Linked DNA regions of Oreochromis niloticus. The protein of the gene in region 2 purifies or fractionates together with the protein of the main gene of each other region. This does not show direct contact. Links are inferred from orthologs where the notes say so. Each region holds a gene or a part of one and is shown on either strand. Other genes may lie near its edges. The genes, in order: vps33a and plekhm1.

Region 1 (16,743 bases), on a different chromosome or scaffold from region 2:
TTGTAACACGTACATTATTAATATACATTTTAAAACAAACACTGGATTCCAACGGCGTTAAAATAAGTTTCACCGACGGGTTTCTCTAAACACTTTGTTTTGTTCACTTTGTTCACTGAGAAAGGTCGTGTCAAGAAGCCACAAGCTCCACTATGCGAATCACATAAGAAAACATGATAAATCCAGCTGTTATTATCGTTTTATGGAAACTTCATAGGCCGCAAATCCCAAGGTCTGCCTGATAAACACCACTAATGAGTTTCAAGTCCAAGATCTGGCTTATTCTCCAACAGTTGTTTTCACTTTATTTTCCTATCATAAAATAAGTGGTCCACCTGGCAAGGAGCAAAGCGCCAAACAGCACAGTGTAACTGAAGAGAACAAATTTGAGGATTTCCTTGAATGTCCGGAGGAAGCGGATAAACAAGGGATCCACATCCTGGGGCTCCTGCTGTGTCATTTGCCTCCGACCAAGCTGGGTCAGGCGTCCCATGTTTTGGCCTCGCCCCATTCTTCAAACAAACACATTTGTTAGATTTCAGTACAAAAGAAAAGAATTAGAATCAAGACAGGTGGCTGAAAGTTCATTAAACATATATGTACTGCAAACAACATCGGCAGTATGAATGAATTAAATTTAATGTATGGAAATTTAGGCAAAAACACCAGGATGCATCTTCATATTAATTTGTATCATAAGCGCAAAGTTATTTATTCCTGTAAATGTAAAAGCCGAGGAAAGACCGCCGTTAATAATTTATCCCCCAAGTTGCACAAATGGGTTCAGTATCGATCTGCTTTGTTTGCGAACAGTTGCAAATAATATACTGAACATCATAATTCACCTTTCACATCACCTTTACTGCTTTTGGATAGGAAAACAAGAAAATTCTTGCATGGTGAATCTTTTTTTTTTAAGGTAATTTTTTGCCACACTATTAAGCAACAGCCACACCCATACATAAACCACGTTAGTCACAATAAATTTTGCTTATAAAAATGTATACTTTTACTATACCTCCCTGTTAAAATAAAGAAAGTTTAATGTCTGTTATCTTCTTTAAAATTTTTATCTTGCTATCAAAAACAGAAAAACTGTGCATAAAGTGACAAATGTAAACATGCATGAATGCCAGATAATTCCACATGAGGTTAAGGCATAATATCTTTTTTTTAAAAAGGAAACACTTACACTTTTGTGTTGATGGAGCAGGACAGGAGCTGATCAGAAGGGCTCCTGTGCTTCTAGCCCTGAAGTCCAAGTTGATGTGTGCCGTCTTGAGCGTTTCAAGCCCTTATGGGAGAGGAGGAGCCAAAAGGAAAAACTGATCACAAGGATCTGAATCCCCTGGGATTTATTTAATGGCAATAAAAGTGTTGTTGCACCTGCTCCTCAAGGAAGCAGCAGGCCAAAATTTACAGATTTAAGTATTCTCTGAATAATTTACCAAAGTAGTTTCCAAGACTTTTACACAAGCAGCACAAAGGAAAAACTACAAAGATTAGCCAAACAGAGGTCACCAAAATATCTGAGTGCTGTCAGCAGGTCTCCCTATATATATAGTGTCAGGCACGGAGAAGGTATTGACTGATACAGAGATCAAACACCCTCCTGCCGCAGAGTTATCCTCTACCGGAACATGGAGCAAATGGCCTCCTAATTCAATCAGTGTCCTGTGCTGTCAAATCATGGGCTGCCGTGGGCTGAGCTCTCCAGACAGCACAGGGCCATTATCGGATGATCAGGAGGCCTGTTACTGCGCTAATTGCTCCTTCAGAGAACTGGAGCACTGCTGAGGAATACACTCCCATCCCTGCTTTTCATCCGCTTGCAATCAGCTTTCCTTTCCAAAAATTGCCTAATTTACAGTAATCAGAATGGCGTATCACATGACCAAGTAATGTGACACTAATTATAGTTTAAGACTTTATTTAGCCATTTTTAATCCAAGCAAAGGAAAACAAACAAAAGACAACTACTAGTTTTCAAAAATGCAAATCAAATGCATCATTACTCTTCTATGGCATCACAAATATGTTTTAATTCTATATACAGTATATATACAGTAGCAGAAAAGCAATAACTGCAATGACGGAAACACAACCAAATGACAAAGACATCTTCATTAGACATCAATAAACCTTTATATTGCGCAATACGGGTGCAACTCAAAGGCAGGACAGTAAAGATTATGGAATGTATATAACAGACAGATGTAGCCTCCGGCTGCCCTAAACCTGCTTTCTCTCTAATGTCCAGCAGGGGGCGAGTCCTCTGCAAAAAAAAAAAAAAAAAAAATCACCCAATTGTCTCCATTGCTTGTTCAGCCTTTTTTTAAGAGAAGAAAAACATGTTTCATTTTGTAAATTCTAATTAAACTCTTGTTTGGAGCAAAACAGATGATAAAGCAAGCTATGCTTCAGAGCTACCTTTTGATGGACAAATTGCTGTACTATGAGCATTTCTCAGTCAGACCACCCCACGGTAAACACATCAAGAAAAGAAAACGGCCGACACAAACATCAGACTTTGCAAACAGGACTTTGCAAAACAAAGGGTGACATCACTCAGGCGATTAGAAAGTGGACATGCATAAGACTGCAGTGTCATAGCAGGTAACAGTTACTTTGACAAAGAAATTTTCACAGGGCAACTTTTAAAGAGCCGGTCTCTCTTTAAACTGGAAGAGACATCAATGAAACACCTGCAGGACAGTGATGTGGACATAAAAAAAAAGTAGCTGAGCTTTTCTGGTGGATGGGCTCTTTGATGTGGCCAGGTGTACGTGCAGGTGACTCATTGTGTCTGGGATTCAGGGCGGTCCATGAGGGATTTGATCCAAGTTGTGCCATTTACGAGTTTTGTGGTGGCTATAACATACTCCATCCCGCTGTCTTCCACTTGAGAGAGGAAACGGAGAGCAGCTATTTCTGCATACGTCACACCGCCGAGGAAGAACACCAGCGTTGTCCGATTCTCTCCCTGCTGGCCTGTTGGACATTGAGAGATGCAAGTCACTAAAATGCAACATAAAAATTAAATATATTAACAATAGCAAAGGATATTTTATAGTTTTTCCTTAATTCCACTCTGACCTGGTGAATCCTTTAAATACTAGCAAATATAAATGTTAATACAACACAACTCAATGTAAAGCAAATAGCAAGCCACCCTCTGTTGAAGCACCGGTTTTTTTAAAATGTGAAAACCCTAATTTAGTCATACACTCCCCCCTGATTAGAGTCTTCTATTATCACCTTTAAAAACCAATGCAAGGCAGGCATGTAGCAACAAGTCAACTGTCTAATGCCCAAACACAGTTCTAATTAGCACATTTCAAACAGAGTGTATAATTAAATTCATTATTCACATCAGTGTAACACCTACTACTGCCAAAATGAAAAGATGGAATAAAGATGGAGAAAAACAAAAGGACAACACTGGCTGTCACTCACAAATCAAGCACAGAGTGGTTTTTCAGCCTTTCTATCAAGAAAGGCACACAAAAAAACGACAAGCTAACAGTGGCTGTGTGGCACCATTGGCTACATGCCATAAATCTGCCGCTATTCAGCATCTGACATAAACAAATCCTGTGTCTTATCTACACAGAGCAGGAGTGAGGCTGTTTTTGTTCTGTTGTGAGCAGCAGGGCAAAGAGCAGTCCTAGCTTCTCTTAGTCCTTACGTTTCTTATGGAGCCCAGAGGGAAGCTGTTGTCTCTCCTCAAAGTGCGGGCCGGGAAGCATTTTCAGCACCTCTTCGATGCTGCGCCACCCAGGTCGTGCCAAGATCTGAGTCAGTCGGATGCTAAGTGGAGAATAGCCACTGTACACGTATGAGATGTCGTTGGGATTCTGAGAGAACAGAAAAACTCACAAACGTCAGCCCTTGCTTTTTCATGAGTTTAATCCATTAACTGCTTTCCTTTTTTTGTATATTGAGTACCTGCTCATTGGCGTCCTCCATCCACAGTTTAAGGGTTTTTCTAATAGTGGGGTAGTTATTCCGTGAGCCTGTCTGTGGCTTTAAAAGACCAGCCTTCTCTAGGTTGTTCAGCGTCAGTATGTGTTCATAACCATAGGTCTTCACACAGGGGGAGGAAAAAAGTTAAAAACCATCCAGTTTAATTATGACAGGAATCCAAGGGTGCAGAGAAAGCTTCTTTATGTCTTTACCTGGAGAATCTCCCTCTTGTAGTAGTCCATCACCTTGTGTTTGAGGCCATTATTGCAGACTGACTGCATACACACCAGACGCAGGATCTTGATCAGGGGATCCTTCTGGGCAATGCAGTCTTCTATATACGTGTTCACCTGCATAGTCACATTATTTTACGGTGTTTAGTGAACTTTACTAAAAATCCTGTGAAACAGCACCTATAAAAACACACCTTGCTACTACTGGGTTGGACTCCCTTTTGCCTTCAGAACTGCCTTAATTCTTCATGGTTAGATTCAACAAGGTGCTGGAAACCCTGTTGGATCTATACCATGGAGAAACATTCATCAAAGATTTTAGTTTGTATTTAAATGAAAGCATCACAAAGTTGCTGCAGATTTGCTGGGTGTACATCAAGGATGCAAATAGGGTTGTGTAGGGAAACTCCCAGGAGATCAGCAGTTGTGAAATTCTCATACCAGCTCATCTGGCATCAACAACCATGTCATGTTCAAAGCCACTTACATCACCTTTCCTCCCTTTCAGATGCTCAGTTTGTTTAGTATCTAAATGCATGGACCTGCAGCCGTGTGAGAATGGTTGAACAGATTTACCTAATATATACGTGTGTGTTTGATAACTTGTAACAACTTATCTTAGGGAGGAAAATAGGTAACTAGATGAAAAATACCTTGTCTGTGTCAACACCAGTCATAAATTCCTGCTCCACTGTTAGATTATCAAAGAAGGCCTCGGATGCTGAAACATGAGATGATAGATGATTTACTACATAGTAGTGGATATTGATGGAAATAGTTGTCTTTAAAGTCTTAAAAGCCAAAAACTGAGCGAGATGTATGCTAAAAAACATAATGTGATTTGATGGGAAAGCATGGGATTATATACGCACTTGTGATGTCTTTGATCAGCTCGGCTATAGAAGTGTGGTTAGCCAGTGAGCTTCGGGCTGCCTGCATGTGAGGCAGCTGGGAGACAAACTGCTTAATTTCTCCCACCGTTTTGGCATTATGGCGCTCCTGAGAGACAAAAGAAGAGATGAAACAAGCATAATGCAGCATCCAAATAATCTTTAACCACTATCACACAAAACACCTCAGTAATAAAATTCAAGGCTCTGACATGCTACAGTTATAATGCACTGGAGTGCAGTACTCCTTTACTTGTTGTTTGGCCTAGCAGGAATATCTGAAATTGATCTCATGTTGCCCCCCGAAAGTACCCGGATTGGAATGAAGGGAATTTCACACTATGATCACCACATGTAAGCAAAGATGGGAAAAAAAAAAGCAAAAATGTATCCAAAACAAGGCTAACCTCAAAGGCGGCAGATATTATTTTGGCTTTTTTGCTGAGTGCTGCACCAACAGCATTAAAATTTTTGTCCCGGATTTCTGCATACAGCTCCTCTGCTGAGTTGAGCTGTAACTTCTTGGGCTCTGTTGGCAAATCTTTACTCCCTTCACCTTGCTTCTTCTGTGCAAACTTCTCAGGAGGCAGCTTGACATAACCTGGAGTGAAAGCATAGAATTAAAAAAAAGACTAAAAATAAAATAGTGAAAAATCTCTGAAAAACTTTTGGCTCAGGATAGTGACAGTACTAGCATGAAAAGCTACCACACAGAAATGTCTGCAGGCAAGCATCCAAACAAGGATCACTAGACTGCAGACATCATCAAACTGCTGGAGAAACTAACCTCCACCTCAACACTACAATATGAGCAATATGTCAAATATTGGAGAAAAAAAGAAGATTAATTTTAATGTTCAAGTGTAATCCTGCTCTGCTTTTCATTAAAAATAAAGTTCCGAAAGAAACAGCGGGATATGCAGATGTCAGAAACAATAAATATTACTGAGGCTCAACATGCAAACATAAGAGTAAGAACTCTAAATGATTTATTCATACCATTATTGATTCCGTAAATCTCGTCAATGAGACCCTCATAGGTGAGCTGTGTGGCCAGAGGGGTGAGCAGGTCAACGTTACGATCAAGGAGAAGTAGGGTATCGAACACGGGCAGAATCTGATTCTGACTGCCAGCAAACTCCCTCTTCATCCTCAACATCATGTTGGCAACGAGCTGATAACAAGCAGAGGATTTGTTTATCAGAAAAATGTATTTACCTCGCTCCTGCAGAGCCTCTGCTTTCATATAAAACAGAAATTATTGAAGGTTACACCATGCTCACCCGTGCACATTCTCCTTTCCCATATATCTGTGGAATGGTGCCATACAGAGCCTGCAAGGTCATGAGGCCTTTGGCTGTGTGGTACAGGCTTGTTTGGTCATTTTCCAGGTAGCACTCCTGAGTGCGACAAAGGGGAGTAATTTATGTGTATATGAGAGATTCCACCAAAGCAAGTGGATGATACATATTTGTACTGTGCAACCTGAACACACCCTGAAAGCACTTTCATACTCCATGGACAGCAGGTCCCCATCGTAGGGAATCAGGTCCAGGATATACTCATCGATGTTGATGAAAGAGCCCAGCACGCCCTGCTCCTTTAGCCGCTGTTCGCACAGCATGCTCCGCCGAGGCACGAACAAAATATGAAAGTCTCGGGATGAATGGTGTCTATCCTCACTAAAGAGTAGCACAATTCATGTTGCAAAGTGTGGATAGCTATGCAAAGTGAGAGAAAGGACAAGAAAACAAAACCTTGTCTTTATCACAGATTGAGGATGAGACACATACACTCACCTAGTTATATTGTCTGCAATGATGTCCATAAGTTCCAGTCTGGGCCGGACAAAAAAGATGATATTTTTGACATCAGCAGGGGGAAGCCTCCCATGCTTGAGGGTGAACATCTTTTCCACTTCATGTTCCTGAACACACCATAATAAACGACAAGTTAAAACAACACCCTCAGCAACATTAGACACATGACATTAGTGTTAAAAGAAACTAGATAATAAGACATGTGGGCCTTGTCTGTTGTCTGAGTTAATTGAGACATAAATTGTGCACCCACTTCCAAAAAATAATGTGCAAATAAATACAGAATTCCAAGATTTGAAAATCTCATGAACACATATTTCTTTTACACTAGAAAATAACATAAAACATAAAAGATTTAAAATAAGAAAATGGACCAAGAAAAATATTTGATGATTTTTAATTTGGCGACACCAATACGTCAACACTTCTGAGTCTAATTTGTTGCATTTTTGATTTCACGATGTGCCAAATGCTTTCAGCTGTTGAAAAGTCTAGAATGTAGGCAGGACAGTTCAGTAGACTCTTCAACTATGAATGCATGCTGTTGTAATAGATGCTTAATGCGGTTTAGGAGTCTTTTGATGAAATGTGCAAAAAGACTGCTGTCCTATCCAGTCTGGATAGGAGCATATGTAAAACCTGTTTTCAGCATTGCTAGATATGTAGACTACCAATTCCACAGGCATGAATGCAGCTCCATCACAGGTGCAGGTTTTTGAACTCAGTGCTGATAATAAGTCAGATGCTGCCTTTTCTGTTTAGTCCTGAGGACACAACATACATGTTTTGCAAAAATAATTTAAAGTCTTAATTCATCTGACCACAGAATAGTTTTCCACAATTAGCAGACAGTAGCATTTCATGTTCAACCATGGCTTCTTCTTTGCGTGACAGACCTTTAACCTCTAGTTTTGGATAGCATGGTGATCTGTGTTCACAGACAATTATTTCTGGAAGTGTTCATGAACCTATGCAGCGGTTTTCATGACAGAACCATGTGTGTTTTTAATGCAGCGGCACCTGAGTGTTTTTCGTCCCTTGTCCACAGAGATTCCTTCAGATTCTCTGAATCTCTGGCTGATATGTACCAATCATGTTACTGACCTGTTGCCAAATGTTCCTCCAGCTATTTCATTTTAGTACCAATTACTTTTCCAGACTGTTCTTCTTGTACCAACGTTCAGTTGTCTTGTTGCCATCACACTCAAAATGGCCTAATATTTTTTCATTAAACAGTAGAAAGCTCTGACGTTTTCTATTTTTTTAATGTAAATAATATATTGGTTTAGGAGATTTGCAAATCATTGCATTCCCACAAAGCACGGCTTCCTAACATTTTTAGAAATGGGTTTGTAAACAGAAAGCACTTACCTTCAACAGAGAGTACTGAGCTATTAGTCCAAACGGTCCCGTCAGATATTCGTCCCAAACTATGGCCTAAAGAAAGAGTAAGAGCACACAAAGCTTTGAATCGTGAGTAAGCAGAACTGAAGATGTTCTGTCAGGCGATACTTGCTAACTGTTACTTAGCTAGTAGCTCGAATATTTTATAATACGACGCACCTACACAGAAATATGTCTGCGTTATCTGTATTGTTTTACACATTCAAAATAAAACTATGACTATAATGTTAACTGACAGTCGCATGGTAACGCTGAGCCTCAGAGACCACATTAACTACCAGTGTTTGGACTACATTTCACAGGCGTATGCGGGTTTGTCACCTTGCTTCCTGCGCATTTGTCCAAAAACTCTCGAAGCTCTTTTCGTGCTGCTTCTCTCAATATGTTTAAATTCACTCTACCGTACGACAAGTGAGCAGCCATTTTTTCCTTACTAGCAGCACAACAAATCAGGTGACTTCAGCGTAGTCGCATCATGTGACCAAAGAAAGTCAAGCTAGTTCACACCAGTGATTGTAGAAAACGCCACAATTGAGCCTAAACACTGTGAAAATGTGCACTCAAACACTTCCACTTCACTAATGCACCGACAAATTCATGTCGGCACTATCTGTTTGCAGTCTACGGTAATAATAAATAAAAGTTAAATGCAAAAACTAAAATAGCATAACGGGAAATACGGGTTTCACGCATGCGTAGATGTTGCTCGGTAAGAAAAATTACTTAAACAGCTAAGAGAAATACTCATGTCTCATACCGAGTCTCAGCATTGTTTAAATTATACTTTTTAAGCGTAGACATCGACAGAATAACATCAGAAATGTTTCCTGTTCAAGTATGCTTTTAAATACGATGAAGGAAGCGCAGAGGAGGTACTGTTTCAATCCTCCTGTACTCTTCTTTTTGCGAGTAGGTGTGGAAGCTGTGTCCAAATTCACAAGCGGGATTTGGCTTCATTTTTGCACAATGGGAGGAGGTGCTTTCTACAGTCATTGGTGGCAACTCTACACTGTAACTACCACAAAGTGCAGGCCATAACCACTGTGACTACGGTTATTTATGACCGTGACGATTGTTCATTTCATTCACGTTACAAACAAATAACTTATTAGAATAATAAAAAAATAATGAATCCTTTTAGAATAATTCAAAACCTTCAGCTAAAGAAATGCATTCATCCTTTTCCGCAATTATTATTGGATCCATTAGATGGCGCAGTGTCCTCACAGTAGGATTCAATCGCCGGCAAGCTCCTGTAATTGAGTCACTGATGTTGGAATTTGGCTTTTTTTTTTCTTGAAAATTACATAGTTAAAACTATCTTTTAAAAAAGACAAGAAGAAGGAGAAAAAGAAGAAGATGTGACAGGGGAAATAAAAGTTTCTGCTAATGTTATCATACAGAAAACATAAAGATTCTTGTTGGCACATACATATGAAGAATGGTTGTTTAATACAATCAAAAAAAAAAGTGACTCAAATAAAAAACGGCTTAAAAATCAAACTTTAAAGCTATAATCCATGTTTACGCGCCATAAAGACAGACTGCTGAATGATGAGACAAATTTAGACACTGTGTTATGGAGACAATTGGATCAGGTGATGACTGCCTACTTGAGCATCAGTGTTATCACTTCACATCCAGGGGTTTCCTGCCCAGGGTACCAAGGGCTTTCCATCCTCCGCGCAGGATAGAAGACCAGTTCCCACGCACTGGGGTGATCCACTGTGCATTTCAGCAACAGACTACTCTTCCAGGAAAAATAAATAAATAAAGCCACAGGCTTTTGTGACGGGCACCATGCGCAATGACTAACTCCGTGGTCGGATCCGAGCGCTGCACAGAAATTTAGTCCGCATCATTCCCTGACAGCTCCCTGAGAGAGAAGGAGAGGCGAGAGAGGCAGGGCTGGATTCACAGGTAGGCTGTGCGATCTCCTTCGAAGGATTTTCAAACATTACATCCTCACCCGAAACATTTCTGTGAGATTATTGCGTTTGGACAGCCCATTGTAATTTCTCTTTAGCCTGTGCAAGTTGAATGGATGCAGCATTTCATTCAGAAGACACGGGGAATAGAAATCGCTTACTAGGGAGCTCGTTTTATTGCCTGTTTTTATTAATTTGCTGGAACACATATCATGGGTTTTTATTAGCCTGTTATTTACTGAGTCGTTTGAATGAAGGGGAAGATTGTGAGGGAGTGTGCAGTGCACTCAGTATGCATGCTGTTAATTAACCTATAGCTTACAATTATAACAATGAACATTTCAGTGAATCCTTTGTGGGGGGGTTTTGGGGGGGGACATCATTCCGAAGACGTGATCCTGCTGCAGAATTTTATTTATTTATTTTATTTTTTGCTGTCATTCATGCAGAGCTGGTGTTGCACTGATTTACTACTGCCTACTTTGGTGTTATGATTATGGACTAAGTTTATTCATGAATGGCTACACTCTGGGTGTACCTCAGTAGGTTCAGCCCCCATCTCCCTTTATAAAAAAGATTTAATAAAACAAGACTAGAGGCCGGCTCCTCCTGCAAATGAAGTGCTTTGTTGTTGTAGATCTGATGTAAGAGAACAGACCTGGTAAGTCATGTGGGAGACTGTGTGGTTGCAGTCCCTGGGCGTTGCTGCAGGATTTTTTAGGAGCGCACGCTGGAGGCTTGCAGACTATGGAGGAAAAACGTCAAGCTGATCACTGATGTGGGGAGGGCTGCTTCTCAACTCCAGCTGTGCCACAGAGCAGGTGATTCAGTTGACTACTTGTTGTGATGCTATCTTATACTGCACCCTGGGGCTATTATTATTAAACCTGGAATGTCAAAGCAGTGTGTATCTGTGTGTGTGTGTGTGTGTGTGTGTGTGTGTGTGTGTGTGTGTGTGTGTGTGTGTGTGTGTGTGTGTGTGTGTGTGTGTGCGTGTGCTGTAATGGGTTGGACTAGTTCATTCTTATTCTGACATTAATATGGAAAGAGGACAGAGAAAGGAAGCTGGGCTCTGCCTTCCAGTTCCACCATCTCCCAACTCCTCCTACAGACCTGAAGCATGTGGATTAAATGGGGGAGGGGAGAAAAGACTGAATGAATGGTCTGAGCGATATCTGCAGTTGCATCCTTGCACATAAGCAGCCCCAGTAGTGACTGGATGACACCTTTATCCTGATGTCCCTTGTCTTTGTATTTTTCTCCCTGCCTGCTCGCCTATTGTTGTTTTCTAGAGAAGGAATGAAATTAAGAAAAAATATAGGAGGAGATCAGTTGTTTTCACATCTGGTCACATAAAACAAGAGTAAAAGAGCAAGAATGATGGGTAGTTAGAGAAAAGGTGGGGGGGAAAGATGGAGGAACGAAGTGCTTTGCATGCTGTATGCATTATTTAACACACAAGCATACAAGGCAGCCATACCCTTCTTCTTTAACCACGTTTCTTTACAACATTTGTAACAATGACCTGGTCTGCATGGGTCTGAAAATTTGGCACAGGTGTGGTCTACTATGCAGACACACTCCACACACACACACACACGCACACACACACACACACACACACACACACACACACACACACACACACACACACACGGAGTTTAATCACTCTCATTCTCATCTTCTGATCTTGCTGTTACCATGGCCACAGTTGGTAAAGGTGCATGACTCCATGTTTTCTGTGCTCGTCACCATCTATGCATGCAGCTTCGGGCCTAAATCACACAGTTTTTACTGTAAATCTCAGCAGATTTTGTGTTCTGTGTTTAAATTCTGTTAGAGGAGGTACTTTATTCTGCCATTTGCGGCCGAGTTCCAGAGGGGAGTGGCTTCATCTTCTTATTCTCATCAGCGGTGGATAAGCATTGATTCACTTACTTATCCAAATGTGGTGATTCGAGCTGCCTAAATGGTGTGGCATATTGGAGAAAGCAGAAGTAATGAATGTGGCCTTTTAACAAAGTTCCCCCAGCAGAGTGAGGAGTTAAACATCCAAAATAGAATTAACACTAGCTTATCTCGAAACCCCTTTTCCACCTTTCCACTACCCTTCCCAATCCCTGACCCTTATATTGCACTCATTCTAATCCCTGCTTTGCATATGTTGCAGCTTCAGTGATGGTCTTCAGAGTGACGCCTACAGAAAAGACTCCCGACAGAGGTTTTTCTGTCAAAAGTTGCGCAGAAGCTTCCTGTTAGTGTTGCAGCTTCCAGGCCAGAACAGTTTGCCAACACAGATTTGTTAAAAACACCCAGGGGCATTGTACCTGCTAGTTTGCTAGTGGGACAAGAGGGAGAGTCAGATATCCCACAGCTGAACCAGATCTTCACAGGGGAGAGAGTAACAGCAGTAAGACTAAGAGACCTGACGTGTTTTCTTTCATCTTATCAACCATGTAGTTTTGTCTCATAAGACTACAAACAGACATTTAATACGCCTATCTGTTACCTCTGACATAAGATTTGAAGAAACCGAGGGAACATAACCGGCCGGTGCATCAGCAGCCAGTCCCACCTCTTGCTTCTGGGGCATACAAGGATGAATCACCATCACCCAAGCAAATCCGAAACTCACTGCAGGCTCTTGCTAGAGTGCCGGTAATCGAGTGTTCCCTCGTCCTGTAGCTGTTTACTGACTTAGCTTTAAAAGGAGGCTCGGATAATAGCATTCTCTGCTATATTAGGAGACTTGTGATGTAACAGAGTTGGTGATAACTGTGATATTTAAAATATGAAATATTTAAAGAATATTAATAATGCACACAAAAAAGTAGTGCAGCACCAGTAACTATCAGGTTGACACTTAAACATAGTGGGTGGCAGTATTGCACTTTAACTGATGGCAGATGTTATGCCATGTGGAGTTTTGTTGTTGATTAAGCAACTGTTCTTTTTCTCTGTTTTCTTATGGTTAAGGTTTCAGACTTTCTCTTCAGCTCCCTTTGAGTCTAAAAGTTGAATCTGAATTATATGTACATCAATGTGCTGGTCAGATGGCGTTTTCAGCTAAATCTCAGGATTGCTGGGATCTGTCGGATGTCGACTGCAAATTCAGTACGCCTTGTTGTGATTTCTGAATTAAAAAAAAAAAAATCCTCACCAGCCAGATTTAGGTTGACTGGATGGAGCCAACAATTATAGCAGGGTATCAGCATGATAGCTTGTTTGGTCACTGGATGGTTTTTCCTGTTTGTTCTCCAACGATGCGGGACCTGGATCCTTGCCTGCCGAGAGGATGTAGTTGTGTGTATTTAAAACGGTACAACACTCTCACATTTGAGAGGTGAAGAGTCCTCGCAGATGGTTCTGCAGATGGTCCCTGTCAGCGCCATTGTCTGAGTGAAAGCATGGATAATTTGTCAATGCGACAGACCTAAAAGACTAACATCCACACTGTTGCCCTAAACAGAGTTTCTCAATCTGTTCCACCCGATGTGATCTGTTCCTCCCCAAATCCTTGTTTGATAGTGGTCAGAGCATAAAGCGTACACTAATGCCTTAAGGAGAGGGTTTACACAGAGTGAATGGCAACGGGGGTGGGAGCTGTAAATAATTAAGAAATGCTGAGTGATGTGTTCCTCTTGCAGCAGAACATTTCACGGTGCAGTGCTTTATAGTGTTGCCCAGGTCCAACTTTCAGTGTGTTGCTATGCTGCCATCTCACAGTTCTCTATGGAGGATGGATGGAGTTGTGTCATGCTACTGGGAGTGGGTGGCTACCTTTTGGTGGCTCCTACCCTCTCCCCACTCACTCTGTGAGACATTGTGAGAATTAGACATCAAGATCTGTTAAGCTACTTAGTTTATAAATCCAAATGATCATAAATTTAATTTTGCGATTTAGATTTAATTTATTTAAATTTGGCGTCGCTCTTTATTTAATGTCAAGTCATGATATGTTTCCTTTGATAAAATCTGAGAAATCAGATGTTTTAATTGCGTTAAGAACTGCCAAATATACATTACAGATGAATGGGCTGCTTGCTTTGAAGTAAAAAAGTATACACTTACACAATACAATCATGCAATACCGTGCAATCAAAATAATGTGTCAGCTTTGCAATCCATTGAACAGATGTTGGTAAATTTCACGTGATAAGTCAGCTCCTTAAACTGCAGATAAAAATGAGTGGGTTATCAAATTACCGGACTCATCCTGTTGAAATCAGGAGCTTTTGTTTATCCCCACACATTTAATAGTTGTTGAGAACAAATATGGGCTAAAGTGGTTATCCTGGCTTCCAAACTACAACATGCAGAGATGTGATTTTATGATGCGAATGACTGGAGCACATTTGACTCTTCCTTTTTACTTTGTGGTTGCAGGTGTTCCTGTTTCAGTGTTTTTTTCTTTTTTACTGCTAAAGGTGGCAAGTCAATTACCATTCATGACCCTTACTGCGCAGTGTACTCCAATCTTGTGTTTATAGCCTAATCAACAATATAACACAGAACATTTTACAGCCTATAAAAAAAGACCTTCAGTTTCTACCACACACGTCACCGCTGACTGCGAAGGAGCAGCTGGTTGTACTTTTCTGATGACATGTAGCTTACAAGTGAGTCAAAATGCTGTTGAGTAGTTCGTGTTTTGAAGAGAACTTGAGTGAAGGTCTATAGATAGCTCACATATAGGCTTGCTTTTACAGACCATCCATCATTTTCCAGAAGTAGATGGTTTTTAACATTAAATTATTTTCTCCATCATTCGAATCTCGTACTCAAATTTATCGAGTAGTGGTTACTTCTCAGGACGTGATAGTAGCTCACCCATATGCCAGCAATGCTGCTTGCTTGCGCCTTCCGTCTGTCCAGAATGTTTTACTTTGCTGGATTTAATTAGCATTTGGCTCTCAAATAAGTCCGTGTGTGAGGAAGTGAATTAAAAAAGAAGGCATGATGTTCCAGATCACCACAGGACTCGAGCTAAAACTGTAGGCCAACCAAGACTCTCCTGTCTGTGTTCTCTTTCATAATACATAACACAATCTGACTTACTGCCAGACCAGATGGTAGAGGAGGAAAAATCAGGATGAAGTAAAATATGTTTCGTCACTTCTTAAACTCTCCTTTAAGTCCTTCTTTTTTCTTTATGATTTTAATCTTAAAACTTGAAAAAAAAATTGTGGTATTTTGTATTGCACCCTTTTGTTTAGCGATGACGTTCACTTTTCACAATAATCAAGTGTTTCTTTGTTTGCTGGTTTTGCGTGTTGAGTATGTACGACTGTTAAGAGAACCTCCATTATGCATTCAAAAGTTTTTGAACACATGAAATATAAATCAAAGGGAAACCAATTGTGTAAATCTGCATTGATCTCTGATTCTCATTAACCCATTTTACAAATATCTTTTGTGGAGGATGGCGAGGGAATTGTTGCCCTGGAATTCAAGTGTAGTACCTCATAGTGTTACAGTGTCATTATATTTAATACATTTATAAGTAGGACATGTAGCAGGGTGTCAGGCGATTGATAAAGCCGTTGGTTACGCTGCAGACAGTTGTCCTCTATCAAATTCGGAATAAGATAATACGTTTAGCATTTGGCAGTAATTTTGATTATTTAATTTGTCTGCTTCATCAAAATAGATTTGCAAACCATTCATAATGATCAATGTCAATTTAAAAATTGCAGTATTGTTAGAGCACAAAGTGCTTGAATATTATTTGAGTAAATCCTTGCTTTTGTTTACAGATTTCAGTACAGGAAGTAGCTTCGCTCTATCCTTACATCCCACTTACCGTGGCCCATGGTGAATCATTCCAAAGAAGCCCCACTGACTTGTTGTCACTGCCTGCTTTCCTCAGCTCTCCCTTCTGCAAGTACTGAAAACTCAAGCCATTACTGTAACAAGGTGCTTTTTTCCAGTCTGTTTGTTTTCCAGTCATATATTCTGCAGTAATGAGTCATACTCCTACTATTGAAAGATATACAACAACGTTAATCTGTGAAAGTGCTTGACTGGACTCGAAATAGGTTACTCTTGCTGATGATTTTCTTGAACTGTATAAGGAGAATGGATAGCTGTGTTTGCCAGAAGCTGATGCAAAACGTCCAGGCTGTGCTCAGGGAGTTGTGTGTACGTACACCCCTGAAGATGCACAGATGCAGATTTGTATTGACTAGTCTCTCAGGCCCTGAGGAGGAGACACAGGTTTCTAAATCGGTCCTCTCCACCCCCATATGAAATTCTCTCTATAGAGAGATCCCGCTGCGCCCATGACTTATGGTGATCAGTCTTGAGTCGATGCTCTCCCTCTGGTCTTTCCTGCTGTCATCTCACACATGATCTGTTACTAGCTACTCCTGGCGGTATGGTGTGGCCATTTGCACAGTTCCCATTGTAAAGGTTTCATAACATTTTTGCAGAAAAAAAGCAACAAATTAATAAATAACAGAGAATATGTGCTTCTCCTCAGAGAGGAATCAACCACCTGACT
Region 2 (17,007 bases):
GCACAGATTTCTGCCCATAGGGGGTAAGGACCTCACCTCATGTATGCCGGATTTTATACATAGAGACTCTAACAGAACAAGTGACAAGAAGAGAAAAAGAGGGAGACGTGGAGGTGTTAAATTGCGTCTGAGGAGACAACAGGTCAGTCGGTTTCCCCTGCCCTCTGTTATCCTTGGAAATGTTCAGTCTCCTAGGAACAAGCTGGACGAACTCCAGGGAAACGTCAGGTTCCAGAAAGACTTCAGGGACAGCTGTGTAATATCTTTTTCCGAGACATGGCTGACGGAACAGGACCAGGACGCCGATTTGTCAATTTGGAAAAATTGGAACTCCTTTTCGCCGGGATCGGGATGCACGGGTAACAGGGAAATTCCAAGGAGGGTATGCTTGTATGTGAACAAACGTTACTGTAGCGCTGTAACTGTTAGCGAGTGTATTTGTACACCAGTATGGTGTTATTTTTGTGCCACTATTCTGAGCGCACGTAAAAAAAAAAAAAAAAAAAAATTGCAGGTGCAAGTGTTGCATTTTGAGGAGAAATTTATTTTGAGCGAAGAAAAGCTAAATTTGAGTGAACAAAATTCATTGCTGCGTGCAGAAAATGTATTTCAGTTCAACTCTATCTGTACACTGTACAGAAAGAGTTGAACGCGCACGGGCAGAAATGTTGAGAGCGCAAGCAACACATTGCGAGCAAGCGCAAATGCAAAAACTGAGCGAGAGGAACTGCTATTGTGTGTGTGTATGGATAATAGCAAACAGTGAAATACATTTTTTGCAGGCAGCAATGAATTTTGTTCACTCAAATTTAGCTTTTTTTCGCTCAAAATAAATTTCTCCTCAAAATGCAACACTTGCACCTGCAAAAAATTTTTTTACGTGCTCTCAATGTTTTTTTTTTACGTGCGTTCAGAATAGTGGCACGAAAATAACGCCATACACCAGATGTTGAACTTTTATCCCTGTCACTGCGCCCTCCCTCGTGAGTTTCCACAACTTTTTATTACCATAGTTTACATTCACCCGAGGGCTCACCCCGCCTCCACCTGCGGCATCATCTCAGACGTAGTGCAGAAGCTGCAGGCGCTCTCTCCTGACGCCCCAAACTTTATAATGGGGGACTTCAGCCATGTCTCTCTTAACTCATGAACTTCTTCACAAATAAAATTTTTATCATTAGAGAAAAAATTACCAATAATCATCCCACAGATGTAATATTATCTACAGCTACTTTTAGTACCATCGGTGTTAAGTTAGACTCTTTTTCTCCAATTGATCTTTCTGAGTTAACTTCAATAATTAATTCCTCCAAACCATCAACGTGTCTTTTAGACCCCATTCCTACAAAACTGCTCAAAGAAGTCCTGCCATTAATTAATTCTTCAATCTTAAATATGATCAACCTATCTCTAATAATCGGCTATGTACCACAGGCCTTCAAGGTGGCTGTAGTTAAACCTTTACTTAAAAAGCCATCTCTAGACCCAGCTGTCTTAGCTAATTATAGGCCAATCTCCAACCTTCCTTTCATATCAAAAATCCTTGAAAGAGTAGTTGTCAAACAGCTAACAGATCATCTGCAGAGGAATGGCTTATTTGAAGAGTTTCAGTCAGGTTTCAGAGCTCATCACAGCACAGAAACAGCTTTAGTGAAGGTTACAAATGATCTTCTTATGGCCTCTGACAGTGGACTCATCTCTGTGCTTGTCCTGCTAGACCTCAGTGCTGCGTTTGATACTGTTGACCATAATATCCTATTAGAGCGATTAGAACATGCTGTAGGTATTACAGGTACTGTGCTGCAGTGGTTTGTATCATATCTATCTAATAGACTCCAATTTGTTCAAGTAAATGGAGAGTCCTCTTCACACACTAAGGTCAATTATGGAGTTCCACAGGGTTCAGTGCTAGGACCAATTCTATTTACATTATACATGCTTCCCTTAGGCAGCATCATTAGAAGACATAGCATAAATTTTCACTGCTATGCAGATGACACGCAGCTCTATCTATCCATGAAGCCAGGTAACACACACCAATTAGTGAAACTGCAGGAATGTCTTAAAGACATAAAGAGCTGGATGGCCGCTAACTTTCTGCTTCTTAATTCAGATAAAACTGAGGTTATTGTACTCGGCCCTGAAAATCTTAGAACTATGGTATCTAAGCAGATTCTTACTCTGGATGGCATTACCTCGGCCTCCAGTAACACTGTGAGGAACCTTGGAGTCATTTTTGACCAGGACATGTCCTTCAATGCACATATTAAACAAATATGTAAGACTGCTTTCTTCCATTTGCGCAACATCTCTAAAATTAGAAATATCCTGTCTCAGAGTGATGCTGAAAAACTAGTTCATGCATTTATTACTTCCAGGCTGGACTACTGTAATTCTTTATTATCAGGATGTCCTAAAAACTCACTGAAAAGCCTTCAGCTGATCCAAAATGCTGCAGCAAGGGTACTGACAGGGACTAGAAAGAGAGAGCATATTTCTCCTGTTTTGGCTTCCCTTCATTGGCTTCCTGTTAAATCCAGAATTGAATTCAAAATCCTGCTCCTCACATACAAAGTCTTAAATAATCAGGCCCCATCTTATCTTAATGACCTTGTAGTACCATATCACCCCATTAGAGCACTTCGCTCTCGCTCTGCAGGCTTACTTGTTGTTCCTAGAGTATTTAAAAGTAGAATGGGAGGCAGAGCCTTCAGTTTTCAGGCCCCTCTTCTGTGGAACCAGCTTCCAGTTTGGATTCGGGAGACAGACACTATCTCTACTTTCAAGATTAGGCTTAAAACTTTCCTTTTTGCTAAAGCATATAGTTAGGGCTGGACCAGGTGACCCTGAATCCTCCCTTAGTTATGCTGCAATAGACGTAGGCTGCCGGGGATTCCCATGATGCACTGAGTTTTTCCCTTCCACTCACCTTTCTCACTCACTATGTGTTAATAGACCTCTCTGCATCGAATCATATCTGTTATTAATCTCTGTCTCTCTTCCACAGCATGTCTTTATCCTGTTTTCCTTCTTCACCCCAACCGGTCGCAGCAGATGGCCGCCCCTCCCTGAGCCTGGTTCTGCCGGAGGTTTCTTCCTGTTAAAAGGGAGTTTTTCCTTCCCACTGTCGCCAAAGTGCTTGCTCATAGGGGGTCATATGATTGTTGGGCTTTTCTCTGTATTTATTATTGTGCTATCTACTGTACAATATAAAGCGCCTTGAGGCGACTTTTGTTGTGATTTGGCGCTATATAAATAAAATTGAATTGAATTGAATTGAATTGAAATCAACTTTGGGCAATTTGTATCAATATGTATCCTGTCCTACCAGACGGGATAAAATGTTGGACCTTTGGTACGGATCGGTGAAGAATGCTTATAAATCCCTCCCGCTTCCTCCTCTGGGATTTGCTGACCATAACTGTGTGCATCTTCTGCCCATCTATAAAACTGTCTTAAAACGATAGAAGACAAAGACTAAGGATGTTGACGTATGGTCAGAAGAATCTGTGCTTACCTTGCAGGAATGTTTTAAGATTGGGAAGTTTTTATTCAGTATTGTGGAGATGATCTTGACGCTTTGGTGGATGTTACTAGCTCTTATGCAGTATTTTGTAAAGACATGATTATACCCCGTAAGCGCGTGTGTACGCTAACAATAAGCCACGGGTCACCAAAAGCGTCAAATCCTGTTTAAGGAAAAAGAGGGGGCTGTTACTGATTTTCAGACAGCCACCAAGGACCTGAAAATCGAGATCTTGAAAGCAAAACAGAGCTACAAAAACCTTCTTGAAAGCAAATTTGCTGCAATAAAATTTTGGGTCTGCCTGGACTTGTATGAAAACCATAGCAGGGTTTCAAAATCCTCAGAGCAGTAGTCAGATCATTTTAGATGGTTTTAATTCAGACAGAGATTTTGCAAATGCTTTAAATATGTTTTATGCTTGTTTTAGTTCTTCTGATTTTAGCAAGGATATTTTGGAACTGAAACAGAAACTGAGAGATACTCAGCACTTTATCATTGAACTCAGCTATGTCAAAAAGGCCTTTCATACAGTTAATGTGAACAATAGCCAGGGTCCTGATAATATTAGTGGCCGCCTAATTAAATCTTGTGCTGAAGAACTCAGTCCTATATTTCAGGTTATTTTTAATAAATCCTTGCAAACACAACATGTGCCCTCTCTTTGGAAAGAAGCAGTTGTAGTTCCTGTCCCTAAATCTAGTCGTTCAAAAATTCTAAACGACTTCAGGCCTGTTGCCCTCACTTCAGTTGTAATGAAAGTCTTTGAAAAAATCATCAGAAATGTGATTATGAAAGAGATTGAACATCAGCTGGATCCAATGCAGCAATAGAGGAGTGGAGGACACACTTTTGACTTTACTAAATCTGATTCTTAAACATGTAGAGAGTAAAGGGACTTTTGCAAGACTTCTTTTCATTGATTTTTCTTCGGCTTTTAATACAATACAGCCCCATATTTTAATTAAAAGACTTTTAGAACAGTTTGAAATCAAGAAAAACCTGGTGGGCTGGATTTTAGATTTTTTAACTGACAGGTCACAAAGAGTGAGAATAAATGGGGTTCTGTCTGACCCAGTGTTCTCCTCCACAGATTCTCCTCAAGGGTGTGTCTTATCGCCCTTATTATTCATTCTCTATACAAACATGTGTCAGAGCAGATATGAAAACAGGGCCATCATTAAATATGCAGATGACTCTGTTATTGGCAGCTTACTGAAAGAGGGTGAAACTAACCACGGTCCAGTCATTGATGACTTTGTTCAGTGGTGTGAGGAGTCTTATCTCCAGCTGAACATATCTAAAACAAAAGATATGGTTATTGATTTTAGGAAACAACAAAATGGGCACAGAGTCACTTTAATTAAAGGTCAGAAAATAGAGCAAGTGCAATCATATAAATATCTTGGGACCATAATCAATGAAAAACTGAACTTTGATCAGAATTGCAAATCAGTTTGTAAAAAGGGTCACCAGCACCTTTATTGCCTTAGGAAACTTGCTCATTTCCATATTGACCAAAAAATGTTAACTTTGTTTTATCGTTCTTTTATTGAGTCTGTTTTATCCTTTTGTTTGGTCGCATGGTTTGGTCAGGGCGGAGGTTTCTATTTCCAAGATGCAGGACAAAGCGTTTTAAAACAGCTTTGTCCCTGTTGCTGTCACTGAATTAAATAAGAACTGTTTTTGTTTTTGATTCGAAACGTTAAATTACTATATATGTGCTACAGTGAGGTTTATATTTTTATTATGTATGTGTGTTTTTGAAGGGATGCCAAATGCTATCATTTTTCTGTAAAGCAAATTTACCTTGCCTATGGGTATAAATAAAGTTACCTTGAACCTTGAACCAAACCATCAGGCAACTCAGGAGAGAAAAGCGATGCTCTACCTGCACTGCAGGTGGAGCACTGCTAACTTCAACTGACAACATTTTTGGGTGGTGGAAGGATTACTTCGAGGACCTCCTTAATCCCACTGGCAGAGTCAGAGATGAAGGGAGCCACTCATCTATCTCTGGGGATGACGTGACTGAGCCAGTTAAACAACTCCTTGGTGGCAGGGCCCCTGGGTGGATGAGGTTCGCCCTAAGTTCCTGAAGGCTCTGGATGTTGTAGGGCTGTTTTGCTTGACATGCCTGGAGATCAGGGGTGGTACCTCTGAGGTGGCAATTAGTCAAACCTTGGACAATGCAGTTTTCACCCTGGTTATGGAACACTGGACCAGCTCTTTATCCTCTCGAGGATACTTGAGGATGCATGGGAGTTTGCCCAACCAGTCTACATTGGCTTGGCGGATCTGGAGAAGGCACTCGACCATGTCCCTCAGAGTGTCCTGTGGAAGGTGCTTCAGGAGTATGGGCTGTTTGGCTCATTGCTATGGGCCATTCGATTCTCATACAACCATTTCAGGAGCTTGGTCCACATAGCCGGCAATAAGTTGGACTGGTTTTCGGTGGGTGATGGATTCCACCAGGGCTGCCCTTGTCACGGATTCTGTTCATAGTTTTTATTTAGAGAATTTCTAGGTGTAGCCAAGTGGCGGAAGGTTTTTACTTAGGTATTCTCTGAATCTCAGCTCTGCATTTCGTATATGATGTGGTTCTATTGGCTTCATCGGCTGATGACTTCCAGCTCACACTGGAATGGTGCACAGCCAAATGTGAAGAGGTGGGAATGAGAATCAGCACCTCCAAATCTAAGGCCATGGTGCTCAGCCAGAAAAGGGTGGAGTGTCCACTCGGGATCAGGGATGAGTGAAATAAGATAATAATTATTCAATGTAACATATAAAATAATATGAAATAGTTTATTTTAATGAAAATTTACAAAACAAATAAATAAATGAATAATACACAAATATTAAAAATAAATAATAGTGTAAATATCATAAATACAATAAATAAATTAAACCAACTAAGATATAATTTAACAATAAATTAACAAATACTTTTTAAAAAAATGTATCCGACAGACAACTTTCAGTGGGCAGTTCTCAGAGATATAAGAAATTCACATTGTCTCAGATGGGCTTGTGTTATGTTCCTGATCTTCTCCCAGGCTTCAGCACTGTAACCCTACAGACAAAACAATATTATTATTATTAAAATACCAGAGGTGAAATATCTGTCATATCTAAATACAGGCTCAGTAAAAATAATGCAGGCTTACATTTTTCTTTAGGATTTTATTTAAGAGTCTCTTGAAATACTTTTCTCTCCTAAAAGACAGCTGTTGCCCCTTCTGTGTGGTATTGCTGTGGCTTCCAATCTAAGTAAATCAAGAGAAATAAAACAAAATATATTTAAATAAATCATTCACCACTTTAACTTATTCGCAGTTGTCAGGTCTTTTACATAATAGAGACTGAATTCATTGTAAAATTACAAAAACGAATGAAAGTGAACTTACACAGGAGTGAAGCTCTTCAGTCTGTTTGTCGACTATATTGAGAAAGTTCTCCACTGTGTTCTCCTCCCATGATGCAGAGCTGTGATCCTCCTCAAACAGGGCAAGCAGCTCCTTCAGAATCTGAACTGTGAAAGCCAGTTTATCCTCAGCCTGGAAAAAGAAGAAGAAGAAGAAAAAGAAGAGATTACTATAGGAATACTTTTGTGACACTTGAAGATGGATGGCTTAGAAAGTCAAAGAACATGAATCCACACAGCAATGAAAATTTTCCCAGATATATCTTAGTTTGCACAGGAATAAATGGTTGAAAATGAGTTCTTTGTATTTTTGTCCTTGAATTATACACAGGAGTTATGACAGAGTCATGATAATAGACAACTCCCTTGGCTCTGTGGGAGAGAATCCCTACGACCCTTTTAATAGCTATAGTCTATATATAGGTAAAGACAAACTTTTGTAGATTTGCCATCACGACACTTTCAGTTCTTCCAACAAAAAAAGAAACAACTTTATGTAAAAAGTTAGGGATGACTTACTGTTGCTTTGGACGTCTGGCGATACAGTCGATTAGGGAAAGCTACGTTGTGCTCAATTTCAGCATCCTTAGTGGTGTTAGTAATCTGCATCACACACAAAACGCACACACATCACATGCATGGAACTAATCAAACTATTTAAATCAATACCACATTAAACATTATGCAAAGAAGTGCACTCACCATCATATCAAGGAAATCTAAAGCTATTTTGTTGTACAGACTGAATTGACTCTTTGTGTTTCCTGGATGTTTTACAATCCATTTGCAACTTAGCGAGGAGCCCGTACTGTACATCCCGAGAAACAGGCAAGCGATGAAAATCCTGCTGATCATTTTTGAAAAATGTAGAAATTTCCTTAGTGTGAAGCAAATTCTCAGGTCTCCTGGTGTTCTGATGGAGCAAACCTCCAGCGCTTCATTTATAGCAGAGCCCAAGGACACACCTATTTCATTTTCTAATCAGCTGGAAAGTCCTCACAGGCTGGCACACGTCTCAAAAGTAAAAACATAGCAGATTTATGTCATCGTTTTCAGTTTTAATATGTGTTCTTTGGGATAATTGTGTATAAAAATTGTCTATGATATAAAAAAAACTGAGGCAGCAGCACCATGAGATGACGTCAAGTTACCACATAAAGCATAAAAACAAAAATCTCCTCCTCTAACTATGTCCATCTCTTAATGCTTGAGATTAATATGAAACCTTTAGGCGATTTTAAAGTAAACGTAGAACAATAGTCGTTTAATTAGTTTAATTAGTTCAGTTAGTTTAAATGTAATTTAATTACTGTCAAGTAAAAGTTTATTTATCCGAAATCTGTTTTTACTTCTTGATTTTAATCTGGGAAAATTGAAGATAGGAGATTTACAGCAATGTTTTTCAGGGAGTCTTTACCTTCTCGGCAGTTTGCAAGACATTAAGGTAGCTAATTTAAAAAAAAAGAAAAGGAAAAAAAAGATCAAACAGTCAGTTAAAATCTTTAAATTGGTAGACACAAATGCATTGACGGTTTGGACACACACACATCAGTGCTGTGTCTGTAGACACGAAGGAAAATGAAAGTAGATGTGCACGAAACTTCCTTACGCACGTTTGCTTTTATTTTCAAATACGACTGATTACAGAGGATAAGAAAGGAGTATAGAGTGATTGAAGTTTATGTTTTTTTTGAGTTTCTGAAACCAATAAAAAGCCAAATATACTGGCAATATATTGTTTCGGTGGTGAGGCTATGTGATGGAGTAGTTTATAAGTTGCAGAGTGTGATATGAAAAGTCTTTAGCAGGGCAGGAGCTGAGAACGGAGAACAGAAAGTCCTCTGGCGTCGACAACAATAAAACCACTATGTCGTCTTTAAGTGTTACTCGTAAACTACAGCTTCCACTTTGGGTTTGTTTTGTTTTTTTGTTTTTTTGTTTGTTTTACCGCTTCTGTTTACCTTTAGTTAAGGTTAGTAGTTAACCTACTGCATGTTGATTTTGTTTTTTTTTTAATGTGTTGTCTTAAATAAAAAATAACCCGGAAACCATGAGACACAATAAAAAAATATGTCGACAGTGAAAATGAAATCTCGCCAGAGGAATGGAAATCAACTTGAGTTGGAGCTCATGTTTAGATGGTGAAATGCAAACATGCTCTATTTAACTCCTGCCACATTAAAATCCTTATAAAAAATAAGCTAAAAGCATGTACAACAGATAAAACAATTTTATTCTATTTATATTTTCTATTTAATTGAGCTTTTTTCTTTCTTTTATTTTTGTTATTTTCATGTTATTAAGCTACTTGGGTTTAACTCTGTTCAAATACCATGATAGAATGGTTTATCTTCTGGGTGATAAACCATTTTATCATCCAGAAGGGCAAAATAGCCATTTATGTTTTTTGGGTTTTTTTTTTTAAATGTAAAAGTCATAAAGCTAATAGCTATAATTTGTCACTTCTAAGTCAGTTTAAATAACATAGGAGGAGAAACGGGTCATTTTTACAATTCATGAAGAATAATTTTAATGTCAGGGCAGGGTAGGCATGCAGTGACACAAATAATGTCAATAAATTATTATTTATTTATTTTTTGTCATATAGACTGAGGAATAAGTTCAGGCAAGAGTTTCCATTGGCTGCGATGCTCGCAGATGACATTGCAATCTGTAGTGAGAGTAGGGAGCAGGTGGAAGAGGACCTAGAGGTACGAGCCATAAGGGAAGGTTTAAAAGACAGGAAAGAGACCTGCTATGATTTATGGTTTGGAGGTGGTGACTTCGACAAAAAGAGAGAAGACTGAGCTGGAGATGTTAAGGTTTTCTGTGCAAATAATCAGACTGGAAATGCACATGTCAGAGACAAAGCTCAGGTCAAGCACATTAGAGATAAAGTTAGAGAGATAAGGTTGAGATGGTTTGGACATGTGCAGACAAGAGATACTGCATATGCTGGGCAGAAGATGTTGAAGATGGAGCTGCCAGGCAGGAGGAAAAGAGGAAGACCACGGAGGTCGTTCTTGGATGTAGTGAAGAAGGACATGCAGAGGGTTGGTGTGACAGAAGAGGATGCTTAAGATAGGGTGAAATAGATGATCCACTGTGTCCTTGAAGAGGATGAAGAGGAGAATGAGAAGAAGATCAAGAAAATCATAAAGAAGCTCACGAAGAAGAAAAAGCTCGACAAGAAGAGAATCCATGAGAATAAGCCCAGTTTCACAGCATTTGTGATGGAGCATGAACGCATCACTAGTCTGAGTTCCCATGATGCATTTCTTCTTCAGTTGGATGGTGACAGTCGAGCGTCTAAAGTCGAGCTAACTTCTGCTCTATTTTTAGGTGTTTTGGAAGCGATGGAGAGCGACTGCACGGATTTGTGTTCCTCTAACGTGCAGCTCACGTGTTTACGTTAATTTAAGGAGGACACGCGCTTGTTTTTCGACCTGTTAGCCAGGCTGTTTGTTTCGGTAAGCAAAACTTAGCTAGTAAAAGCCGCCGACAGCGTCTGATTTTAATATTATAACATAGCTGATAGACATTTCGTTATTTACACAGCTTTTTTAAATTGATTTTTTATTTTATTTGTTTAATTTACAGTGTTTCGGTCGTGCATTTCTGTCATTAATGCACACACGCCCAGTGCTCGTCACTGCAAAGCGTCTGCAGAGAAAACAAATGCTTCTAAATGTCGCTTTGGGTGTTTAAAACGAAACTATTAACTAGCCACTGTTTGGTAAACAGTACTTTGTTTGCTGATAGCCCAGCACTTGATGTATTTAACGCAATCTTATTTGGATGTGATGATGTCAGGGTGGTTGGATTACATGCTGATTAGTTATCAGAGTGCCTCCTAGTTTTTATTGGGGAAGTAAGAAGCTACTTCCCTGCAGACGTCCTCTTTAATCTGTGCTTCACATGACCCATGGGCTACTCACAGAAAGCATGAAATGGCAGATAATGTCACAGAGCACAGACTCGTGATAGGAAATTCTGAAAACTCGATGTGAAGAGGGAAAATCGTTTCCTTCTCGTCACATGTCTGGCTCGTCGGCGTGGTCATATTCAGGATACAAACTCGCATGACTCGTTAGGTCGTTGTTAGTCAAGCCTGCAAGTGCCAAAAGGGCAGGTCTTTTTTGTGTGTTTCAGTGTGCCATGTTGGAGTAACTCATTCCAGGAGGTGCCATGCTCGCCACGCAGACTGAAGCTCCACACGAGGCTAAAGATGTTAAAAAGGTAAGAGTCAGCTCTTTTCACGTTGCGGATTTCACTTCTGTCTGGCTTCTTTCTCTGCTGGTGAGATAGCGTGAGAGTTGGCTTGTGATATTTAAGTAGTTTGTGTTGTAATGCAAAGTACGCTGGGCATTACACCACAGACAGAACTGCTCTCTGTGTTGATCAGTGACTTTATTTACAGTTTTGTTGCAGACTAAAATACAGTATGCAGCAGGAAAGTACAAAGCTGGAGATTGGACTGGCGAGTTATGGAAAATTATTCATAAATCTTGTCTTGCATTTCAGTTTTCCCCAGAAAGCCTTAAACAAATGGGGGGGAAAAAACCCACTGATGTTTAGGTCGTGGGGGACATGGGGTCCTCCAAAAGAAAAAACAAAAACAGCACAGCCTGTTTTGAAAGGCCACTAATAGGGGATGCAGCAGAGGAAATGCATCATAATCCCGGTGCTAAGCTTATCAACAGAGGATTTTAATTATGTTTAATAGTGAAGCTGGTCTTGCATAGGTGTAGTCTCACCCAGGAGTACAGGAGGTCTTCAGGTACAGACAGGAAGGAAAAAAGAGGCCCAGATGGACCCCTCTGCTCTTGTTGTGCATGCTTCAGGGGACCTGCATTGAAGGGCTGAATGATGGTTAACCTAAGAAACTTTTAACAAGTTCTATTCCTTTAGATCAGTGGTGGACATGTTTTGTCTCAGAGGGTCTTACTTACTTAGATAAATTAACCCAAGAGCCAAGTATTGAACAATTAATGTGAAATATTTTCACATATTTCAGAATTATTTCAAGTTTTTTTAATAGACCTAACTGATGCATCAGGCCCGGGTGATCGTGTCAGGAATCAGGAACTTGCTGTTAGCACTTTTTGTGCTTTTGTGTCTGTGGTGAACTGTAATATAAAACCACTGCAGTACAAAGCTGAATTACTTAACAAGGAATAGATCTGGCTAATATTTGCTGTTTACTTAATATTTTTACTCACACATTGGCTTTCTTATACTTAATACATGCAGCATTAGTTTATTTTCAGTGTGACTATAGATTATAACTCTGAGATTTAAATGAATCACCCCGTGTTTCTTGAAACTAAATAATGACAACGTGTGAGACCGTCACCTCTCACCATCAAAGCTGTGTTATGTTAAACATGTTGTTATTGCTCCAACTGTGTCTGTTTGGCTTTTTTTAACCACTAACCACAATTAAACTCCTCAACATCATTCATATTGCAAAGATTTGTTGTGCACTGTATATGATTGTATAACCTAAACTGTGTTATTAACTGCCAAGGGCTGCCACTGGTCTGTGGGCTACTCTTTGAGAGCCCTGTCTAACTCTAGCCTGAATCGTAGACTTCAGAATCAGAGTACTTTCATAATCCCTAAGGAAATTATGTGGGTTAAAGTTGCTCCAAGACAGTAACAGACTAAACTACATAAATAATGCAATATGTTACAAAGGTTACAAATTTAAGAAATAGCACTAATATATATACAAATCGCTCAATTATAAATATCAAGAGTATTGCAGAGGTGAGAATATTACAATGGTTGAATATATATGATTGACATTTAACTTTAACCTGTGAACTTTGTCATTTGCTATTTAGTGTAGAGCAGAGGTAGGCAACCTTTCTGATGAGTGCCATCTAAAATTTCCTCAGAAGTCAGTGTGCCATATGATTGCATTAGCAATAAATTTAATAACGCTCTATATTAACAGTTACACACTATATAGAACAACTTTACAATTACATTTGTTCGCAGATGTTTGCAGCTATCAGCGAATAGTTATCAGCTATTTTGAAACAAAAAAAAGACACTTTTTATTCATAACAAGAACTCCATAACAGCAAATGAACTGTACAACAGAAAATGCAAATGCTATTTATGGTCTCCTCACAACAATGATAAGAAAAAGAAACTGAGCCAATATGGCATGTTTGTTAATACAGGGATACACATGTTAATGTGATCTCTGGTCTCCCACTCAGAGACACAGGTCTCCGAGTGTCCAGCATTCAGACGGCTACCTGAAGACACTCTTTGTGTGAGAGAAAATCTGCTCACACAGATATGTAGAGCCAAATACTGTCAATAATGCCTCTGCAATGTTCTGAATACAGTTAAACTTGTCAGGTAGTGATGTCCAGCAGGTGAAAATGCAAGCTCCATGAACACGCACAGCTATGGATTCCAGCTGCCCCCCTTTCCCTGTTAATGCCCTACCTGGCCCCCTGGCAAAACTTTGCTAGACCCGCCCCTGCACAGTTACCAGCTGTCAGCTACATAGAAAAGGATCCTGGTGTTATTTGTCTCTCAGAAACAGTTCATAACTTCCCTTCAACTCATCCATGTCACCTAAAAGGTAAACCTGTTTCTCCATCACCTGTTCAGCTCTGATGATTCAGTAAGGACATCTCCTGGTTTCATCTTCATGTTTCCCTCTCACCACATATCCAAACCGATATCATGACCAGCAGTTTTTACAGCTGTGGCTCCAGCAAACATCAGCTGATACTAGAAATTATTATTATTAAATAAATTCTAACAACAGCTGATCAAGCTTAAATGTGCTGCTGTTGTTTAGCGCGACATCCGCTGGTTTCCTCTTTCTGGCGCAAAGTGGGCGATAAACAAACAAGAGAGAAAAGCCAATCAGCTGATCATTGATCAGTTTCATGATTGAAGTAGCAAAAGGAGAGGGAGGGGGAGAGAATGAGAGAAGAAGAAACAGCTGTGCAGCGTAAAGATGCAGAAAAACTCCAGCTTTGTGTCTTTTGTGACGATTCCGTTTTTACAGGACGGTTGGCAACTCTACTAACTAACCTTATGAATAAAATAAAGTTCACTATCAGTAACATCATAGCACCCACCCAGCTGTATAGAAACTCTGTCATGCTAGCGAGTACGCAATACGAGTTATTGTAACTGACTGTAAAAAGTCAGCACAACGAAAATAAACTCCACCTAAACTTGGTTTATATCTGACCCAGATAGACTGCAGGTCATAACTTCTTAGCTGAAGTTCAGTTCACCTGACGCTCCGACCGGCGGCCGCCTCGGGTCTCTCCTCCTCCTCCTGCCTCCCCTTTCCCTCATCCACCTGTTGCCTCTGTGGAAGCTCCACCATAGTCACCATCAAACAACTGAGTTGGTTTTACACATCGATACAGCATCTGGCCAATACACCACCTTTAATACCGTTACAAAAAAAAATAAAAAATCATAGGCCCATAAAAATGAGTATGCCTGATGGCCAGTCCAGCTATGGTCGTGCCATCAGTTAACACTTCGCGTGCCAGCTGTGGCATGTGTGCTCAGGGTTGCTGAACCCTGGTGTAGAGAGTGTGCAAAAGGGTGTAACTATTGCAGCATTTACAGTGTAGTAGATGGAGGAGTTGTACAGGGAGATGGCCACAGGCAGGAATGATTTCCTGTGTGGTGCAGAAGTGCTTTTTGGTAATTTCAGTCTCTCATTGAACGTGCTCCGGTGAATAGCCAGCATGTAATGGAGTGGTATTATTCAGCATTGTCCTTATCTTGGACACCAGCTGCCTCTTAGACACCACTCTAAGGGAGTCCAGCTCCATCAGCACAACATTACTGGCCTTGCGGATCAGTTTATTGAGTCTGTTGGGATCTGTGACCCTCAACTTGCTGCCCCAGCATGCAACAGCATAGAGGATAGCACTGGCCACAACAGACTCACAGAAAATCCTGAGCATTGTCCGACAGATGTTGAAAGACCTCAGCCACCTCAGAAAGTAGAGACGACTCTGGCCCTTACTGTAGAGTGCAGTGGTGTTCTTAACCCAGTTCAGTTTATTGTCTATATGTACTTTTTTTAAATTGGTTTATAAAATTGCTAAAAATAACAGGGAGAAACTTCTGTTAGCTTAGATAACAAATATTATTTTCCGTAACCATGGATCAGCCGTGTGTAGTCATCCTCCAGACGCCTGCTTTCATCCAGGAAAACCCCAGGGTTATGGCTTTTTTTTTTTTTTTTTTTTTTTTCAAATGTTTTTTTCAAATGTTTCAAAGAAAGAAAGAAAAAATTTATGTTTAGTTAACAAGGCTTTGAGACCTCAGATCATTAGGTAAGGTGAAACAAAGTCATATCTTTGAGTATAGTTAGTATAGTTGGACAAACTGTGCTTGTTTGGCCCATTTTGGATCTTGGAAAAACCCTGTAATTCTAGTTTTGCAGAAAATAACCCCGCTGCATAAATGCACTGTATATGTGCAGGTGCTTGGAACGGGACCTGTAGATGTTTTTCTTCTACAGGTCAAGCACAGCAAAGGAAGAGTTCTTCAGTGCTCAAGAGCACTAAGGTTCTTGTGTGTTGTGGAAGAAGCTGCCTTTGTCCTCTAACCTTTTACATAATGTAGGTCTGTTTGTAATGTGTTTGTTATTTTTTTTCCCCATCAGCTGACAGTGGGTGACATGTGACAGGAGGTTATATACAGGTTGAGTGTCATAACATCACAGCTGATCTCAAACTGCTTGTTTGTCATCACACTGTGGAATGAAATGCAGGAAAAAAGTGCCAGTTAATGCTTGAAGATGTTTTCTATGTATGTGGTTGAACAGGAATTTTTTTCTTGTTTGACAGCCTGCTTCCCATCAGAACCAGATGAGGAAGGTGTTTTATTAAAATCTTTTTCCTCTTCCATGTATTGTTTCTTAGATCAAAGAGAAGTTGGCGCAGTCGCTCAAGGCCCTGCAGAAACGATATGTTGCGTCAGACTCGGTAGTCACCAGTGATGATTCCGATGCTAACCTCCTCTGCTGTGCCCTGGAGGCCATCTTCATCCACGGTATCAAGAGCAAGTACATCCGCTCAGAGTCTCGAAGCAGCAGTAGGAAAGGGGACCGTGGACCCCTCCCTCAGCCTTTTTTCTGGAGCCTCCTCAAGAGTGTCACCCACCGGTAAGTCAGAACCAAGGCACAATTATTCCTAAACTTTGGGGGTTTGGGACTTTTTCCCTTTGGAAAAAATACATTTGGAGATTTTATCTTAGATTTCAGGTTCATTTTATTGTAGTGTCTTTACCTTATGCAAAGCGCCTTGAGGCAACTTGAATAATCAAGTATTCTAACAATTATTCCACTGATTGATCGAGTAATCTGATGACAACTACTTTTCTGGGCCTGTCCTTGCTATCACAGGGTGAGAGCCAGGGTCCACCCTGCACAGGTTGCCAATAAAATAAGGTATAGATTAATATCCTTCTTGGAAAACTATCTTCCAGGAGGCAAAAAGAATTCTGACAGTATTGTGTCTCATGGATGAGGGGGTTTTGGTGTGTGTTCATGTGTATGTGTGTCTCTTTAAAGCAGCATGTGGTGGCTGCAAGGAAGAAAAGTGAACATACAATGTTCAATCTTCTCAATAACAATGTTATTGAGAAATTCAAATCAGTGATTCCCAAAGTGTGGCCCTCAGCTTCCTTTTGGGTATTGAAGGTATGCAGGTTGTCTGTGTGGTCTGTGAAAAATTTACAATTGTTAAGCTTGAAGTTAAAATCTTCTGAGTTCCCTGAGTAATGTTTTCAAGTTTTAATATTTCCATTTACAAAACAAGTACAAGACAAAAGATTTTAAAAATTGGCTGATCATTATCAGCTGGCAAAAAAGAAGGCTGTTAATAGAGAATTACACAGAATAACAGAGATGATTGATCAAATGAAATGAAGAACAGAAACCTCAGGAGGTCATTAATCCGAGTCTTGTGTTTAAATCAGAGTTTTTAGTAAAGGGTTAGAAGTGTCCCTGAAGATTTTCAGAGTTCATATTGAGAGATGCCGTTCT

What was found.
Region 1: the proteins of plekhm1 (region 2) and vps33a purify together in Homo sapiens (affinity purification with western blotting; 3 studies listed by BioGRID and IntAct, with this or other methods). This does not show direct contact. The link is inferred for Oreochromis niloticus from reciprocal best matches to the Homo sapiens genes PLEKHM1 and VPS33A.

The regions. Positions count from the first base shown.
Region 1 is NC_031977.2:12,412,515-12,429,257, forward strand, and holds vps33a (vacuolar protein sorting-associated protein 33A), read right to left. Parts: upstream 8,801-16,743; 5' UTR 8,737-8,800; coding exon 8,635-8,736; intron 8,558-8,634; exon of another isoform or gene 8,473-8,557; intron 8,347-8,472; coding exon 8,281-8,346; intron 7,017-8,280; coding exon 6,889-7,016; intron 6,772-6,888; coding exon 6,585-6,771; intron 6,490-6,584; coding exon 6,373-6,489; intron 6,264-6,372; coding exon 6,089-6,263; intron 5,691-6,088; coding exon 5,497-5,690; intron 5,199-5,496; coding exon 5,072-5,198; intron 4,921-5,071; coding exon 4,853-4,920; intron 4,317-4,852; coding exon 4,179-4,316; intron 4,087-4,178; coding exon 3,949-4,086; intron 3,858-3,948; coding exon 3,689-3,857; intron 2,992-3,688; coding exon 2,798-2,991; 3' UTR 1,914-2,797; downstream 1-1,913.
Region 2 is NC_031973.2:6,819,392-6,836,398, reverse strand, and holds the start of plekhm1 (pleckstrin homology domain-containing family M member 1), read left to right. Parts: upstream 1-10,208; 5' UTR 10,209-10,420; intron 10,421-10,427; exon of another isoform or gene 10,428-11,102; 5' UTR 11,103-11,138; coding exon 11,139-11,189; intron 11,190-15,883; coding exon 15,884-16,125; intron 16,126-17,007. Other genes in the region: interferon a3-like, read right to left, coding at 7,470-7,553, 7,653-7,805. UniProt on the Homo sapiens protein: Acts as a multivalent adapter protein that regulates Rab7-dependent and HOPS complex-dependent fusion events in the endolysosomal system and couples autophagic and the endocytic trafficking pathways.